3 linked regions of the Saccharomyces cerevisiae S288C genome follow. The gene in region 3 interacts genetically with the main gene of each other region. Each region holds a gene or a part of one and is shown on either strand. Other genes may lie near its edges.

Region 1 (3,135 bases), on a different chromosome or scaffold from region 3:
AAAGTACGCGTTGAGATAAACGAGTTAAAGAGACAAGCTGAAATTGAAAAGGCTGCAATAAAGGAATTGGAGAAAAATCCTCAATACCAAAAATTAGCTGAAGCATTCAACAGTCATGATCATGTTCATTTACGTGAATCAGAGACCGAGCAAAACGACATAATTTCATTGGGCACGATACGAGACTACAAAAGCAGTAAATGTGAGCAAGCTGATAAGCCTTCGTCGTTGAATCTGCATTCGCATACACATTCTCATGGACATACGCATTCTCATGCTGCTCACAATCCATTATTAGTACTTAGTACTGAGCAAATTAGGAAAAATGCAGGCGTAAGAATCACATGGGTCGGCTTAGGTGTAAACGTTGGTATTGCTATAGGTAAATTTTTTGGAGGTATCGTATTTCATTCACAAGCGTTGTTTGCGGATGCTATCCACGCAATAAGTGACATGGTTTCTGACTTGTTGACTTTGCTTTCGGTAGGGCTAGCAGCCAACAAGCCAACCGCTGATTATCCATATGGGTATGGCAAAATTGAAACTGTTGGTTCCTTGGCAGTTTCAACAATATTAGCCATGGCTGGTATATCAATAGGTTGGAGTTCCCTTTGTGCACTCGTAGGGCCTGTTATCCCACATACAATCATTGACACCATAGGAAACTTAGGTCATGCTCATACTTATTCTGAAGACATTATTGAAGACGTTACTGATATCAACGCAGCCTGGATTGCCGCCGCTTCCATTGCAGCTAAAGAATGGATATTTAGAGCCACAAGAAAGATTGCTATCAACACTAATTCAAATGTACTAATGGCAAATGCTTGGCATCACCGTGTTGATTCATTAACTTCTCTTGTTGCTCTGGTTGCAATCAGTACTGGTTATTTGGTTAATATACAATCATTAGACACGATTGGTGGTTTAATTGTTTCTGGTTTAATTATCAAGGCTGGTGGCGAGGGTATGTGCATCGCAATAAAGGAGTTAATCGATCAGTCAGTTTCTCGTGATGATCCACGCTACCTAGAGATAGAAACTTTGGTTAAAGATACGTTGAACAAACTGATCTCTAATAATAATTCTCAGAAACCCTATGGATTGAAAGAACTGACGTTACTGTCCTCAGGACCGAATTTACGCGGACATTTAACCTTGGAAGTTCCTTTACAAAAATGGGGCAATATTTTAGGTGTTAACGAGTTTGAAATTGTGACACATCATTTACGTAATGTGTTAACCAATGAAGTATCGAATTTGAGAAGACTGGATATTGAATACGTGGAAGAAAAAAATGGTGAGGAAAATGAGCATATCAAGGGACAACAAAACTACAAAGAAGATGTTCTTATTAAGCACGACCATACGAATACTCATATTTGAGCTTCCCACAGTAATAATAACAAGTGAAGAAGAGAGGGAAATGTCGAAAATACCCGAAACGCATTTCACAATTACAAAAAGGCCAAAAAAAAAAAGGAAAGACAATACGCTTATATTTGTCACGTATACCTACTATTTGATTTATGTACGTTTTATATACAAATTGCATTTACTATTTATAAAATAAATCATTAACTATAATACTCTAACTGAATGTTTTAGGATCTTCTCTATTAAAAATATACGTGGAAAACGACTATGGCTGCCCGAGAGACTAAAAAGGAAAGAGCGAGGGATATAACAATAGCAGTCATTACTGGTGATAATAATGACATAAAAGAATTACTGAAGGAGGCAAAGTATATACTGTCAAGGGTATAATGGTGAAAGTAACTGCAGCTTGTATCATAATTGGTGATGAAGTGCTGAATGGAAAAGTAGTTGATACAAATTCCACTTTTTTTGCGAAGTATTGCTTTGATCATGGAATTCAATTAAAAGAAATTGCAACTATAGGGGATGATGAAACCCAGATCGTAGATACTGTGAGAAGATTAGTCAAAAATTATGATTTTATCATCAGTACAGGTGGAATCGGCCCCACTCATGACGACATCACTTACGAATGTATGGCGAAAAGCTTTAATTTGCCTTGTGAACTAGATGAAGAATGCAAAGAACGAATGAGGCATAAATCTGACCCTGAAGCAAGGCTTGATGCAGATGCTCTAAAGGCGCATTACCAAATGGCAACCATGCCAAAAGGCACAAACGTCAAAAATTATTATGTGTGTGATGACTTGTGGGTACCTATTTGTTCTATATCTCACAAAATGTATATACTACCCGGTATCCCTCAACTATTTGCAAGGATGCTGAAAGCGTTCACTCCCACGTTGAAAAAAATATATAATTTGGACAAGGATCCACGTGAGTATGTTCGTTATTTTGTCAGAACACACCTAACTGAGTCTCAAATTTCTAAAGAGCTAAAGTTGATTCAGGATGAATCAACAAAAGTTTCAGAAGCCATTAAAATAGGCTCATACCCACATTTTGGTATGGGATTCAATACAGTTAGTATTTTGGGTGAAAAGAAAGACGATTCATATCTGAAGAGTATTGTCAATAGAGTTGTTAATAACCTCGAGGGAGAAGTAATTTCTTCTGAACTTGAAAACAAGTTCTCGAACCAGGAGAGCTGAATACCCGAGTATTTAGAACTATGTATAGATATAGATTTTTTTTTTGGGAGCAAAGTCATCTCAGTCATCGCCGGTAGTTGCGCTTTCTTCTCAACAAAAAAGTACACTGCTCGTGGTAGAAAGGTACCTTGAAAAATTAAAGATCACATTGCTACTGTTAGAGCTTCAATCGCTAAAGTAAACATTTGAAAAATGCATATCCGAAAGGACCAAACCAGCAAAAGGTATATAATTCATTCAATAGATACAACTGCTCCATGAAAGGAAAAACCTTCATTTACGGTCGCGTTTTTTTTCGTGATATAAAAAAGGTAAAAAAAACGCGTCGCGTTAGAAAAAAGGTGTGTGTGAAGAGAAAGACCCATTGAATGGAGAGTTCGGTTCTTGGGAATTGCACTGAGCCGTGGTGAGTTTGTTGCTTTACTACATCTCTTCTTTTATAAGCAACGCTTAAGCTGAACCTAGTCAACACACATAACTGAAGTCAATTTGACCAGGTGCAACTGAAACCTGGATTGGAATTGGTATTCACTTGAACAAAAGA
Region 2 (3,331 bases), on a different chromosome or scaffold from region 3:
ATGATGATGTTAGAGAATTCTTTCTGAAAGCCTTCATATGTTTAATCTTGGATAGAAAGGTTTTTAACGCTATGGAATCGGACCATAGACTGTGTTTTAAGGTCCTGGAATTATTTAATGAGGCACATTTCATAAATTCATATTTCGAAATTGTGGACAAGAACGACTTTTTTTTACATTATAGGCTACTACAAATCTTCCCTCATTTACAAAGCGCCTTGCTCAGGAGACGCTTTAGTGAAAAGCAAGGTCGGACTGAAACTATACAGCAAAATATAATCAAAGAGTTTAACGAATTTTTTGATTGTAAAAACTATAAAAATCTACTATATTTTATTTTAACGATGTATGGCTCGAAATTTATTCCTTTTGGTCCCAAATGTCAAGTAACAGAATATTTCAAAGATTGTATTTTGGATATTTCTAATGAAACGACAAATGATGTTGAAATTTCTATCCTGAAGGGAATATTAAATTTGTTTTCTAAAATCAGGTAACAGTCATGATGACTGAACATTGATCTGTTGATTTGACCAGTTGACTGCTTCCCCTTCCTCTTCCAACTCTTCCATTTCCTTTATGGCAATAGAGGATGGACGGTAAACTTCAACGTCCATTATCAATGGAATCTCAAGGATATCTTTCAATATGGAAAATTGTTGCTTATTTTTGTGGTCCTTAGTAACAATATTTTCTGACTCATATTGGTAATCCTCTATCAAATGGATAACATGGCCCATCCCCATGCTCAACGCGCTCCGCACATTGCTTTCGTTGTCATCAATAAACCAGGCATTTGCAAAGCTCGACAACCCACTTTGCAATTTAGCTGTTTCGAAGAATTTTGGATCTGGCTTGCAAATGAATTCTTCCTCGATGGGTCTGTCGTAGTGGCAATAGGTTATGCCGTCAAATAGATCAGCAATACCTAATATTTTAACACATCTGATGGCATGATTTTTGTACGAGTTTGTAAACAGCCATAGTTTGTCAAATTTGCCGAGCTTCTTTTTCTTTAAATTGATCAGCAGCTCCCTTAACTTCCAATCAGGCTTTAAATAGTCTTGCAAAGGTAAGGAATCATCGATGAATGTATTATATTGTAGGACGTCATCAATTTGTTTATTCTTTATTAAACCTTTCACGGATAATCCATATTCTTGATAATACGATTCGATTAGGCGTTCTGCCTCATCGTCGTCAAACCCCAATTCGTATTTAAAGAAATTTGATAATGATTGTTGCATGAGCAATTGTACCTTCGTAGATTTTCTGTACAAAGTGTTATCGATATCAAAGAAAAATACTTTTCGAGCAGGATCCGGATCCGGTAATTTGGGAGGATCCACCTCGAAATTGATTTGTGAGCCTAGATGTGTCAAGCTTTGCAAATGCTCCTGATTTAGTCGTATCTGCTTTTTGATTTGGTTTCTATAAATTGTTCTGTAATCTTTAGCGATAGTCATGATTACGTGCGTATAAAACTTATGTGTTTTTTATCTACATTAAATCTTTTACCAACTATGCGTTAAACCGAGTTCGTATATACATATATATATATATATATATATAAACATATATTTCTATACATGTACGAATGTATTACATATGCTAAATGTATGTATATACATTATATGCACATCTCCTAATAATGAGCCATTTCAGTATTGCGGCAAATACGGAAAAACCCGCAGAAACGATCGTACAGATCCAAGAACTTGGTTTGTATGTGAAGCACGTTGCTGCCCCCTTTTTTTCTCAACCATCTCCGGCGGCGACCGCCGGCTTTTTTCTTTCTTTTTCTGGAAAAAGAAAAACCCCCTATATCACCTTTGACGTTTACTCACTAAATACGAAATGCATTACCCTAATCTCACTTTAAACGAATGAAAAAAGAAAGGTGAGGGGGGAGACCGATGGAAAAAAAAATAAAAATTTTTTTCTTTTTTTTTTTCTTCGTTCACCTCATCTCAATTAATGGCTTTTCCTTGACGTAGTTCAGGTAACTTGGTAGTGATTCTCTTATAAAAAAAAATATTATCATATTTAACATGTTAGTGCCCGTGTAGTTTTTCTTCTTCTTTCTTAACTTTTTTCTTGCAAAAATTGTTTTCTTCCCCTCAGTGCTACAAACAGTAACTTGACAGAACCAAATATGCCACCAGTATCTGCGTCAAAGGCCAAGAGAGATGCTAAGAAAGCTGAAAGAGAGGCTAAGAAAGCCGCTGCCGGTAAAACCATCAGAAAGCTAGGTAGAAAAAAGGAGGCTGCTGCTGAAGAATCGGAGGTAGATGCAGCCGCTAGAGAAATCAAGATGATGAAGTTGCAACAAGATAAGGATGGTCTTTCAGATCGTGTTGTCACTGGTGTTTTGAGTTCATTGGAGACTTCCCGTGATATCAAGCTATCTTCTGTTTCTTTACTGTTCCACGGTAAAGTTTTGATCCAAGATTCTGGTTTAGAATTAAACTACGGCCGTAGATATGGTCTTCTGGGAGAAAATGGTTGTGGTAAGTCAACATTCTTAAAGGCTCTTGCTACTAGAGAATATCCTATTCCTGAGCATATTGATATTTATTTATTGGACGAACCTGCGGAACCAAGTGAATTGTCGGCCTTGGACTACGTTGTCACTGAAGCTCAACACGAATTGAAAAGAATAGAAGACTTAGTCGAAAAGACTATCTTGGAAGATGGTCCTGAGTCCGAGTTATTAGAGCCTCTATATGAAAGAATGGACTCTTTGGATCCAGACACCTTTGAATCTAGAGCTGCTATCATTTTGATCGGTCTAGGTTTCAACAAGAAGACCATTTTGAAGAAAACCAAAGATATGTCTGGTGGATGGAAAATGCGTGTTGCGTTGGCAAAAGCTCTTTTCGTTAAGCCAACTCTATTATTGTTGGATGATCCTACTGCGCATCTGGATTTGGAAGCTTGTGTTTGGTTAGAAGAATATTTGAAGAGATTTGACAGAACTTTAGTTTTGGTGTCCCACTCTCAAGATTTCTTGAACGGTGTTTGTACCAATATGATTGACATGAGAGCTCAAAAACTAACTGCTTACGGTGGTAACTATGATTCTTATCACAAGACAAGATCCGAATTGGAAACCAATCAAATGAAACAATACAATAAACAACAAGAGGAAATCCAACATATTAAAAAATTCATTGCATCTGCTGGTACTTATGCTAACTTGGTGAAACAAGCTAAATCTAGACAAAAAATTTTGGACAAGATGGAAGCAGATGGTTTAGTCCAACCTGTCGTCCCTGACAAAGTTTTCTCATTTAGATTCCCACAAGTGGAAAGATTGCCACCACCAGTT
Region 3 (3,074 bases):
TAGAGTTCATCGAAAATTACTTTTACGAATTGAACCTGAACAATTTGCAGAAGATTGGTGGAACATTAGGAATTATCAACAATGTAAATTTAATAAAAGTTAATTTGGAGAACTTAACAGACATTCAAGGTGGCTTGATGATCGCCGATAACGAATCCCTCGAGGATATTACTTTCCTGCCAAACTTGAAGCAGATTGGAGGTGCTATTTTCTTTGAAGGTTCGTTCAAAGATATCATGTTCGATAGCTTGAAACTGGTGAAAGGTAGCGCTTTTATTAAGAGTTCATCAAACGTGTTGGATTGCAATAAATGGACAAACCCATCAAATGGAAGATCAATCATCAGGGGTGGGAAATTCACTTGTATTTCTGGTAAGAAGGAAAATACGCTGAATGTTAAACAGGATGGTACAATCATAGAAAAAGGGTACAAAGATTTAACGCAAGAAGGTGAAGACTCCAAGAAAAGAGTGATTTCAAAATACGCGAACTCAGCAAATCCAAGCATGCAATTGGACCCCCTTCTTTTTGGTACATGCCTTGTTGCTATGTTATTGTTTTAAGATTACTAGTCTAGTATAACAGAAAGTTTTTTTTGTTCCTAATATTATCTTTATCTATATACATATATCTCCATGAAAGGCATTTGAATTTCTATCTTTCTCTTTCAATCAAATATTGTCTTATTATTGATCAAATAATCGTATATGCACAATGGCAACTCGTCTTTCAAACTCTCCACTTGCCCATTCTTCAGTTTGTTCCTAATCTCGGATGATGAAACATTTCTTAATGCTGGATAATCATTTTGCATAACATGAATCCTAGCGCCCCATTCTCTTGGTATTACCGGTTCGAATTTTCCCTCAAGGATGTCACTGGCGTATCTTAGTTGCGATTCAGCACTGAGATGGCAATCGCCTCTCGCCAAGCAATATAATTGAGATCCCGACATGAAGCTCTCCATTACATCACTGATTTTTAAAGGATGATAATATTTTTCATCAAAGATCCTAGCAATTGTATCAAAACCAACTAAGTAGCCTATATCTGCACTGCATCCTTTAACAAATTGCTCATGTAATATTTTGTCCTTGTCGATGAATTTCGAGAAAACAGTCAACCCGACAGATACTACAGATTGGGGGAGCTTCTCCTGAAGGTAGTCAGCGAATAAGCACATCATTTCCAGACGAGTTGGAAAAGATGCCGGCTTAGGCAACTTATCTGCATTATTCACCGCTAACAGTAATAAAACATGCGAACGGGTGTCCTTCAATTTGAAGTTTTTAATAGTCTGCGATAGTAGTTGAAAATGGGCCAGATGTGGTGGATTGAATGAAGAATCAAGGACAAATAACTTCTGACATTCTAGATGCTGGGGTCCTTTGAGAACCTGAAATAGTAAATTGCTTTTTCGAAACTGCTCGAACGTCTTCTTCATATTAGTCTGCTAGTGCACGTACTGCTATCAACCGTCATTGATTAAGTGTCCATTTTCCAAAGAAGTAGGAGATTATATAACCACGAGTATGACGTCTTCCAGGGAAAAAAAAAAAAAAAAAAAAGAAAGCCAAAATAAGGAGCCTTGAAATGTGTATCTGATATATATAATGTGTATGTAAATATCTATTTAATTAGCCATTGGGATTTCAACTTCTTGTTTGAAACAGAAGGACGGATAAAATACGTGATCACCAACAAGACGAATATAGTAATAAGCAATTTACCCTTTTCGAAAGTAGGACTCATTAAATCAAATTGGCCCGAAGGTGTGATCCTTGTACAAAATACATCAAGGCCTAGATCACATATAATGCTTGTGGATTCCAGATTGGTTGGGATGGAGATCAACTGCGAATCGGATCCTGGCAATAGATTTCTGAAATGAGTGATAATGAAATTATCATTAATTGGGATAACTGGCGTGTATGGGGTAGCCATAAACTCTTTTTTCTTATCCTTGGCCATTTCTTCTGCTGGTTTACCTCTTGCATTCAATAAAAGCTTTGGTATGTAGGTGATTTGTCCATTTTCTAATTCCATAACGATTGCCTTTGTGGTAATATCATCCGTTGTCTTGGAAATGGACATTGTTTTGATAATCTCGGGAAAAATGAATTGTTTAGTTTGAAATTGAGGTTTGTTAATGTGTCCAGTCAATGGATCATAAGAAAAATTGTCGCTTGAGTTAGACAAACGCTCATCTGGGGTTAGTGACTCATATAATTCCACCACTACTAACTTTTGTTCTGGAACAGGTTCAGAACTGAAATAGGAATAAACGACCCAATATTCACCGAAAACAATATCCATTGGAAACCTAAAATCCGGAGAATCCTTGTGCTCTTGGGTAATGAGGATTTCTCCTGTAATGGTATCAATTAAGTTAAAAGTGATTGTATGATGTTCTTCATTAGCGATCAGATAAGCCGCTAGGTTGGGGTACAAATATTTATAAAGAACCGATTTGTCACCTAGTGTAATACCAAGAGTGTTTAGGTTTGTTGTTTCCCTCTTGCTATATGCCACCATTTTCTCTTTCGAATTTACGGCTTTTTTCCAAGTTTGTTTTACCGTATCGTTTTCGATTATGTAGCCATAAATGCCATTCGTGTCATGCTCTGTGACGAATATGTGGGAACTAGAATGGTTGTTGGCAACTATTGGTACATCCGTATTCTTGCCGGGATTCAATTTGAACAGTAAATGATCCTTATCCTCAAACTTAATCAGATACTGGTGATCATGTTCATTCAGCCTAATAACGGAATCAACAGTTTTCCTTTCAGATAGGGGGGATCTTGATTTGATAATCGGTTGATCTTTAGTAACTTCAATTGTCAAATAATGCCCATCATGCGAAAAAACAACAAGTTCGTCATGGTTTTTATCCGTCCAGAACATTTTGACGCCCTGATCAATTTCTAAATCGAGTTTCCAGATAAGTTGGCCCTTATTGACCATATCAAGGCCGCCGATAAAGCCATCATGCGTCAAAACAATTAAGATTTTGGCGAATCCGAACTTCAAATCTGATACCGTGGTATCCTTAGCGTCTAGAGCTAGGAGTT

Evidence for each region.
Region 1: of POF1 (region 3) and FPY1, changing one suppresses a phenotype caused by changing the other (phenotypic suppression), as found in Saccharomyces cerevisiae (one study listed by BioGRID).
Region 2: of POF1 (region 3) and PHM8, changing one suppresses a phenotype caused by changing the other (phenotypic suppression), as found in Saccharomyces cerevisiae (one study listed by BioGRID).

Annotation. Positions count from the first base shown.
Region 1 is NC_001145.3:616,713-619,847, forward strand, and holds FPY1 (flavin adenine dinucleotide pyrophosphatase), read left to right. Parts: upstream 1-1,766; coding exon 1,767-2,591; downstream 2,592-3,135. Other genes in the region: MMT1 (Mmt1p), read left to right, coding at 1-1,386.
Region 2 is NC_001137.3:224,024-227,354, reverse strand, and holds PHM8 (bifunctional nucleotidase/lysophosphatidic acid phosphatase), read right to left. Parts: upstream 1,467-3,331; coding exon 501-1,466; downstream 1-500. Other genes in the region: Smc5-Smc6 complex subunit KRE29, read left to right, coding at 1-497; ATP-binding cassette family ATPase ARB1, read left to right, coding at 2,156-3,331. UniProt on the Saccharomyces cerevisiae protein: May be involved in phosphate metabolism.
Region 3 is NC_001135.5:42,994-46,067, forward strand, and holds POF1 (nicotinamide-nucleotide adenylyltransferase), read right to left. Parts: upstream 1,445-3,074; coding exon 668-1,444; downstream 1-667. Other genes in the region: SPS22 (Sps22p), read left to right, coding at 1-563; EMC1 (Emc1p), read right to left, coding at 1,630-3,074.